Linked DNA regions of Sus scrofa. The protein of the gene in region 2 purifies or fractionates together with the protein of the main gene of each other region. This does not show direct contact. Links are inferred from orthologs where the notes say so. Each region holds a gene or a part of one and is shown on either strand. Other genes may lie near its edges.

Region 1 (4,497 bases), on a different chromosome or scaffold from region 2:
TGCTACCCAAATAGGCAATAAAACATTACCTTGATTTTTAACCAATCTATAGCCAAAGCAATAAAAGTCTTAAAGTTAATAACTTTGATGGAGTATAATCTACACTCAAACTAACTTGCTGGCTTGTCTTTCCTTCCTCCCCCCAAAACACAGCCTATTCGGGACTAGATTTCTCTTCCTCCTGCCTTTGTGAAGCATGGAATACATGACTTCCTCAAGGTCACACAAGAACAGGTCCAGAGACATTTGTTTTTGATTCCTTGTCTAACATTATGCCCACAACTCAATAGTCTAATGTCAGAGTCTACTTAAAATAGATAGAATTTAGGGTTCCTAACAAAAGCAGAACAAGAACAAGGCAAATAAAGAACAACAAAACAGCTGAAGAAGTTCCAGAGGGAATCAAAGGGATGGAAGAAATGATTCTAAGACAGACAAAAAGAGTCAGGAAAGATGCTGGTAGAGAGGAACAATCAAAATCTACAAAACCAGGAGACGATGAACTCTGGTTTGCTCTAGCATTTGTCAAAACTCAAACTCAGGATGTGCCTTGGAACTTTCAAGAGACAGGTCTGGGTTAAATAAATGAACTGTTGCATAATTCTGGGGCTAATAAACTTGCAGAATTCATTAGTTGAAAAGAGAAAAAGTACCAAATGAAAAGTATTAGAGAACGTTTTAAGTAAGTTTACTCAAGATCCTGAATGTGAAAGTTAGCCTAGATAACCCCAGGCTTACATTCATTCCCACAAAGCTTCTCTCAGCAGTGGCTTCAGAGAACGTGAGCTCACGCAGTTCTCAGTAGAGTACTGTCTAGTTCTGTTATATAAAATCCACCCTATGCTTAACCCTTAAGGTCTGTACAAATATATGAAATGGTAAATTACTTTCCTGTCCCTTCATCTGGCACCTTGAGAAAATAACTAAAATACAAATCAAAGATTTTACAGACTTCACTGTTAAAATAAAGGGGAGAAAATCATTCTTCAAAGAATTACACATCAGAAGTTTCTCTTCATCAGGTAGAGAACCATGAGATAACCCAAATAAGCAAAGCTTTAGGTCATTTCACCAAATAAAAAAAGTGTTAGCAATTAGGACATATGCTACTCATAAGAGAAAAAAAAAAAGGCATTTGCAAAAAAAATGTAATAACTTTTACAAACTGGTTAAAGTACTCAATGCTCTCCCCCAAATGAACTGTGATTCCTAAAAACTGAGAATTTCCTCCATAATTGAAATCCCTTACGGTGTCCTTCGATACCCAAGGGCTGCACCCAGGAAATGAGAACCCGAAAAACTCCTGTACTGATAGGCACTGAAACCCAGCCTCTCAGAGGGGGCTGCCCAAAAAGAAAGGAATTTTACTTTCAGGGGTTCACGGAGGTTCCCACGTGGGAAACCAAGTAAGCGTTGCCCGGACACAAAAACTACAGCGCCCGTTCCCACCCGGTGTGCCAGGAAAAGGTAAGGTTACAGAGATGTCCTTTGTGCACACGTAGGCTCCGGCTTCCTCAATTTCCCTTTGCTAATTACTGGCCTGAAAAGTGCAAGCGTCCACTCTGGAGAAAGAACTCCTCAAAGAGAAACCTGAAAGCTTGCGTATGTCTGGTACAGAGAGCTAAAAGGTTACAAAGTCAGGGCTGCCTGATGCCTTCTCCCCGCGGGGAGGACTAAGATACCCTCTCCTGTGTGCACCCCCAACGCTCCCGGAAAGCATCTGCAACTCTCCGGAGGACGCACCAGCATCCTCCCCCTTTTTACCCCCTCCCCCGTCCCCGCCGCCCTTTCCCTTTCCCGGGCCACTCACACTTTAGAGATGAGCCGGGGCGCTGACCAAGTGAGCTGGTTCTCTTCCTCCTCGGGACCGATAGGGCAGTTGAGCAGGCTCCGGCGCCTTACAGAGTAAGAAGCGGGGCTGGGATCGCGAAGCCGGGCAGCCACCCGGGTCTCTCTTCCGCGCCACCGGGGCAGAGGCGGCGGCAGCGGTGGCCCCGTTTACCTCTGTTTTTTCCTCTTCCTGCGTCTCTTCAGGCTGGGTCTTCTGCCCGTCCTGGGCCACTTCTCCCCGGACAGTCACGTTCGGGAGGCTCCCGATTTGGTTTTTAAAAAGTTTACTCTGGGCGGAGACTGCGGCCGGCCCCCCGGGTCCCCCCCGGCCCCGCCGCCCTCGGGGCTGGGGCTGGGGAGGGGGCTCTAAGAACTCCTCCTGGAGTCCTGCCGAGGAGCCGGGGGGCCGGCGACGGGCCGAGGGAGAAGCCCCCCGAGGGGGCGGAGGGGAGGGGGGAGGGAAGGGAAGGACGGCGGCGCCGGTCCTGCTGTCCCCGCCGCCCCGGCCGCCGCTTCACATCGGGGTCCCCGCCCCCCCGGCCGGGGGGTGGCTGCCGAGCTGGGGGGCCCGGCTCATACACTCCGAGGCGGGATGCTACGGCCCCGGGCGGGTGGCCGACGCGGCGGCGAGGTGGGGGACCCGGCCGGCTCCGCTCGGCGCCGCCCCCGCTCCCGGCTCCCGCATGTGTCGCTGCGGCTGGGACCCCCTCCCTCCACCTTGGGGGTCCTCGCCCCGCGCCCCAGGACGAGACAGAAGCTCCGGCCCCTCCTCAGCGTCCTCTCACCACGGAGCGGCTGGCTAGTCCCGGCCAGAGGCAGCCGCCTCCCTGCCCCCCAGCCACCGGCTCCGGCTTGGGCTCGGGCTCCGGCGTGTGCAGCCGCTGCTGCCGGCCGGAAAGGTGAGGGGGGGAGAAGAGGGGTGGCGGCGGCTCCCGATGGCCCCGGCTAGGGCGGAGGTCTCGGCGGTGGCCAGGGCACGGAGGCCGGGTCCCTCGGAGGCTCTCTCGCGCTCACGATCACGGCAGCGGCGGCTGTAGCGCCCGGGGCTCAGCTCGCTGTCTCGCTCGCTCAGTGCGGGGCTCTCGCCTCACTCCAGAGAGAGGGGCGGGAGGAGAGCGGCGCGGAGCAATGACGTAAGTCACCTAGCAACCGCTCCCTCCCCCCCTCCCCTTCGCTTTCCGCTCGCAGCCGTCCTCCGCGGGCCTCTTTCCTCCTTTCCAACAACCCCGCCCCGGGTGCCACGGACGCGCGCTGATGACGCGCCAAGGGAAGAGGAAGTCGGGCTCCAAGAGCGGGTGGGTGCACCTCGGGCCGCGGGACTCGCCGCTGTTGCTGCCGCCGCCTCTACAGCCGCGTCAGAACTGAGAAGAGGAAGGGGAGGAGCCGAGTGGAGCCTAAGCTGCCGCCGGATCCTACCCCTGACCCGAGGGCGGCGGGGAGAGTGTGCTCTGTAGCGGTTTCCTTCCGAGCAGGTGGTGACTGCTCCTTGGAGAGCAAGGAGGAGGCCTGGGCCGCCCGGCTGCGGTCGGGCGCGCACCACCCGAAGGTGAGGCATTTGGCCCCCAGACGGTCCTTCGGAGAGCCCAGCTGAGCGAGAAGTTATCTTACAGCTCTGCCCGCTGCACCTGCTGGAGGGAGCGAGCGCCCCACCCTTTCCGCGGTGTGGAGCGAGACTCAGCGCCAGATAACGCGTGGTCGGGCCGAGCAAATGTTTGATGAATGAAAGAATGCCTCACTCGTGGAGTGCAGAGGAGTCCGACGGAAGTGCAAGCGCCTTGCCGACTGCGTAGCGTTGTCAAGATGAGCGTTGTCAGGCGTCCCTCTTCCCTCAGTCCCCCCGCCTCCGGAGGAAGTGGGGGTGCGGCTTGAGTGAGGAGTCACAGGCTGAGTCTAGCGAAACAGGAGGCGAATTGCCGGGACGAGGGAGGGGAGCCATCCTCCCGGAACTGTGGAAGGGTTTTTTTACTTTTTCAAGAGGGCGAATTTAGTAGCGACTCCCTTTTAGGACTCAGTCTTGCTTGTGGCTTGGTGCCTGGGAGAGCTGGTGTTGGCTGTTAATCACTGTCCATTACCGTCGTCAAGAAACGTTGGCCTGTGTGTCAGATAAACATGATTACTCTTTATGCAGCTTTTCCTAGAAATGTTATCCTGGAAAGTAAATTCACGTAAAAACTCATCAGGTTGAACGTAGTTCTCTAGGCAAAGAAATTTTAAAATAAAAGGACCAGATCCTCAGAAATCTGTCTTGAACCTGGCCTGGTGCATAGTGTGAGAATGAGATAAAAGCAGTAAGGATGAAAGGAAGCAGATTCCACAGTACTGTCTCTGGACCCTGGACACCGTACCTCCTCTGGAAGCGTCAGTGGTGGGTATTAAAAGTCTTTCCACCTCAAGGGCTGAGGAGCAAGAGACAGACCTTGGGAGCTCCGGGTTTCTGCCACTATTGCCACCAGCATATTCAAGTAGTAGGCCAGGGAAACTTTTAATAGGGCGATTCCAAGGGCTCATATTTTATTAAAGTGCTGTTTAGAAAGTGATGGGGTGGGGGATGGATGTTGCGGACGCAAGAAGAGGCTCACACAAAATAGCAACTGCCCAGCTACCCTTCATCCAAAGTTCTCAGGGTCAAGGTAACTATCCCACTTAGGCCACCCTGAATTTGACTCT
Region 2 (4,417 bases):
CCCTCCTGGTGACTAGTGCAGCCCAGATCCAGGATCACTGAATGAAGGTGGTGTGACCACATGTCAGGGGGGTAAAGTAAAATGATACATTTAATATGCCGTTTTTCTCCAGTAATGTCTAATTTTATGCTTGTTTAATGCTTCAGTTTTCAAGGCGCAGTGAGTGTTTAGATATTTAACAAAGATCTTATAATCTGGGGGGGGGGTCAGAGATACGTAGCAAAGAATACCTGGAAATTAGGAGGGAGAAGAGGGGGAGGGAGAAGCGGGGAGAGACCAGGCCTTGGAGGGGAGAAATTGCTGAGGACATCATTTGATGCAAAAACAGCTTAAAGGAAGCCGATCTGGCGGAAGGAAAAGCATGGGATGGGGGAGGTGTCAGGCTCAGCCGTGTCCCTCTGTGGCTTCGGAAAGCAGCTATGTGCCCATCTGCGGAAGGGGATGGCACTTCCTCAGTTATGCTGGGAGCCAGCTTGTTGTTGGTACCAACTCCCAAAGATGTCCAGTAGCTATAGCAAGGAGAACGAACCCCCTGGGGAGACTGGGGTCCTTCCTAGGACCCTCCCAGGGGCTCTGGGCTCTTGGTTACTGTTCCCGGCTCCCCCCCTGAGCACTGAGAGGCATCCCAGTATTAGGGGATCCATCCAGGGTCCTTACTTGGTAAACAAGACGCTCCCTGATGGGGCCCTACCCACCGCTCCAGCTTCCTCTTCTGCCCCCACGCTTTCAGCTCCAGGAACACCACAGCGTGTGCCGCCGTGTGATGTCTCAGGGCCTTCGTGGATGCGGGGACCCACTCCCTCCTCCTGCTGAATTCCTCATTCCTCCAGCCTCGGGTCGGGCTCTAGTCATCCTGAGAGCCTTTACCCCGGCAGTGCCGCGGGAACCCTTTGGTGCGGCGCTCCTGCAGCCTTGTTTTGGTTTTGGCAGTCGGGACATTTGCTCCACTCTGGTGGCCCGTCTGTCCTCCAGATGGGGAAGTACCTAATGCAGCTTTGTATCCTCAGCACCCAGCACAGGGGCTGCCTGGCCTCCAGGCGGCAGTCGGGAGACTTGAGTAAGCGAGCGAGTGGGTGGAGGGGTAAATGAGCCAACGACTGAATGACAGGGTGGGTAAGTGAGCAAATGAATGAGCAGGCTCCTGAGTGGGCAGACGAACGAGGACGTGAGTAAGCGGATGAGCGGGGAGCGGGTGAATGAACGAGTGGATGGGTGCCTGAGAGAGGGCAGGTGGGGGCTGATGAGTGGGCGAGGGCGCCGGCAGAGAACGCGCGGGGAGCCGCGGCGGACGCGGGGCTGCGAGCGCGGGCCTGGACCGCGCCACCTGCCCTCCCCTCTGCAGCGTGGCTGGGGCGGGGCGAGACGGGGCGGGGCCAGGGCGGGGATGGGCGTGGCGGCCCGGAGTGGGCGTGGCGAGGCCGGGCAGCGGCCGGGCAGGCGTGGAGGAAGTCACGTGGCGCGCGCTCACATGACTGGCGGCGCGATGGACCCGCTGCCCGCGGCGCCAGTCGCTGCAGCACCTGAGGCGGAGGCGGACGAAGAGGCGGACCCGCCGGTAGCAGGTACGGCGGGCGCCCAGCAGGCCGGGCGCGGCTTGGGCCCGAGACCCCTCGGCCTTCGGTTTTCTTTCTGCCCCCCGACGCCGCGCGCCCCGCCGGGTCCCCCTCCCACTCCCGCGTCCACGCCCAGGAGGGCGCGTGGCTCCGCGGCCCAGCGCGCGCGTTTGCACCTCGCCGCGCGCTTCTGCCCGCGTCTCCCCGGGGCTGCCCCGGTCCCTGGGGGCCCCGAGGCCAGGCCTCCGCGCGCTTCCTGCGTGCCGGCCTGCCCACCGCGTGGGGCGCCGTCCCTGGACCTGTCCGGCCTTGGCAAGTACTCTGGTCGCCCGGGACTTGGGCGTTTTCACCCGTCAGCCCGCTGTATTTCTCCCTAAGTGCTTTTTCTGATGGATCAGCGTGAACACGAAGAAGCATGCGTGAGGCTTGGCTTTTCTAGGATCTTCCTGTGTAAATGGTCCCCCCTCACCTCTCTAACTGGAGAGTAGATGTAGGTGGGTGTTGGTCTGAGTTACTGCTGCTGCTTGGTGGTGGTGGTGGGCACAAGGTCGGCGACTCTGCCTGGAGAGTCTGGAAAGGTGTCCTTGCGGTGGCTGTGCTTCCGATGCGTTCTGGAGGGCTCTGAGAGTTGATTCATTAGGGAGAAGAGGAGGCAGGAGTGGAGTGAAGCCGCTGCGGGTAGGGGCGAGGGGGTGGGCAGTGCATTGCGTTGGCCTAATTGACGGGAAAGACCCTGGGTGAGTCTGCATGTAAACAGCCCCCCCCTCCGCCATTGGTCTGTAGTTGTATTTCCTTTGACTGGAAGCTGCGTAAGGGAAGCATGTGATGGCTGTTGCTCCTGGTTAGAACATTGTGTTCCTGAGGGCACAGGTTGGCCCAGCGTTCACCCACCCATACCAGGGCCCCTGACTGGACTCCTTGGCGGGGTCACACTTGGACCTGCGGGGCAGTGTGTGGGTAGGAATGCTTTTTCCTCTGAGGACTGTAAAACAATTTAGAGTTGCTGGATGTGGTGGCGGCTCAGGTCTCTTTGCAGGAACGGGGCTGGCTGGCACTGAATGATTTCTGCCTGCTGGCCTTCCCTGGGGCTGTGGTGGTGGTATTCGGTGTTCTGCTACCATCAGGGTAGCGCTTCTCAGTTTACTGAGTGCTTTCCTATAGCTGACTGCGTCTCAAAGTGTGGTTCATGGACCTTCGAGATGTACGTAGCCTCTCGTTTTGTTCTGTTCATATCCTTATGGTCATCCTGTGAGGCAGGTGAAATGGTAGACCAAAACTCAGATTTTCTTTTTTCGCTTTTTACATTGGGAAAACTAAACCCAGAGGCAAGTGACTTGCCCAGAGTGGGCAATGTGGAGTTCCTGTTGTGGCTCAGTGGTCATGAACCCGACTAGAATCCATGAAGATGTGGGTTCCCTCCCTGGCCTTGCTCAGTGGTTAAGGATCTGGTGTTGCCGTGAGCTGTGGTGTAGGCCAGCAGCTGCAGCTCCGATTGGACCCCTAGCCTGGGATCTTACATATGCCACAGGTGCAGCCCTAAAAAGACCAAACAAACAAAAAAACCCAAAGTGGGCAATGCTTAGGGGGTATGATGTCTTATTGGGGATGGTGGTTGGATGGGCTGGAGTCAGAAAATCTAAGCCTTTCAGGAGTTCCCTGTGGTGCAGCAGGTTAAGGATCCAACATTGTCACTGCAGCAGCTCAGGTTGCCTCTGTGACGCAGATTTGATTCCTGGCCTGGCAATGTCCACATGCCGCAGGTGCGGCCAAAAAAAGGAAAAAAAAAAATCTAAGCCTTTGAGAGTGAATTTTATACAAAGATGTTATGTGTATCTCATGGTTTAGCAAAGGTTGATTCTGGCTGTTGAGAAGTTGTGGCTTATGGGTATACAACGAATTTCCTTTTCTCTGCTGTTGTCCAAATACTACCATTAGTATTAATTGTTGGAGTTTCCATCGTGGTGCAGCAGAAACAAATCTGACTAGGAACATGAGGTTTTGGGTTCAATCCCTGGCCTCGCTCTGTGGGTTAAGGATCCGGCGTGGCCGAGAGCTGTGGTGTAGGTTGCAGATGCGGCTTGGATCCCACGTTGCTGTGGCTCTGGCGTACGCTGGTGGCTACAGCTCCGATTCAACCCCTAGCCTGGGAACCTCCATATGCCGCAGGTGCAGCCCTAAGAAGACAAGAAAAAAAAGTATTAATTGTGGGGACTGTGGGGTCTATGTCTTTGTAATACCTTTAGGATTGTCGGGGGCGGGGGAATTGTGTGCACTGTGGTTTGCAGCCTTGTTACATTTTAACATTGCAGTCTTGTTACATTTTAATTCCTTGAAGCTTAAGCTGTGAGTGATAACTCCCTTCCTAAAAATTTAACTCTCAGTTATGGGGAACATGGACAAACACATTCTCTTCAGAACATACAGAACCTTCTGAAGTCTCCACCCGTTTGCCGTCACCCCCACTTAACCCGTTTGGGGCGGATCCTCTCTGGTTCTATGTTTTGTACGTGCGTGTGCTCAGGCATCCTACACCTGAGGCACGCGTGTCGCGGTTTCCCTGGGTGATGTTTTGGTTTCTACTGCTGCTGTAACAAAGTCACAAACCTGGCGGCCTAAACAGCAAAAGTTGGCCATTTTACAGTTCTGGAGGTCAGTAGTCCAAAGCAGGGTTCCCTGGGCTAAACCCAGGTGTGGGCAGGGCTGCGCTCCCTCCGGAGGCCCCGAGGGAGGAGCTGCTTGCTGGCCGTATCCAGCCCAGGGTGCCTCCCACATTCCTCGCCTGATCCCCCCCTGCGCCTGCCCCTGTGGCCTTGCCTTTCCTGTGCTGTCCACTCGCTGAGTCTCTTTCTCTTGTCCTCTTGCTC

What was found.
Region 1: the proteins of SNX8 (region 2) and FBXW7 purify together in Homo sapiens (affinity purification with mass spectrometry; 3 studies listed by BioGRID and IntAct, counting the BioPlex papers as one, with this or other methods). This does not show direct contact. The link is inferred for Sus scrofa from reciprocal best matches to the Homo sapiens genes SNX8 and FBXW7.

The regions. Positions count from the first base shown.
Region 1 is NC_010450.4:76,480,444-76,484,940, reverse strand, and holds the start of FBXW7 (F-box/WD repeat-containing protein 7), read right to left. Parts: upstream 2,915-4,497; 5' UTR 1,811-2,914; intron 1-1,810. Other genes in the region: uncharacterized protein LOC110262137, read left to right, coding at 4,125-4,195. UniProt on the Homo sapiens protein: Substrate recognition component of a SCF (SKP1-CUL1-F-box protein) E3 ubiquitin-protein ligase complex which mediates the ubiquitination and subsequent proteasomal degradation of target proteins.
Region 2 is NC_010445.4:1,615,995-1,620,411, reverse strand, and holds the start of SNX8 (sorting nexin-8), read left to right. Parts: upstream 1-1,420; 5' UTR 1,421-1,468; coding exon 1,469-1,562; intron 1,563-1,992; exon of another isoform or gene 1,993-2,007; coding exon of another isoform or gene 2,008-2,047; intron 2,048-4,417. UniProt on the Homo sapiens protein: May be involved in several stages of intracellular trafficking. May play a role in intracellular protein transport from early endosomes to the trans-Golgi network.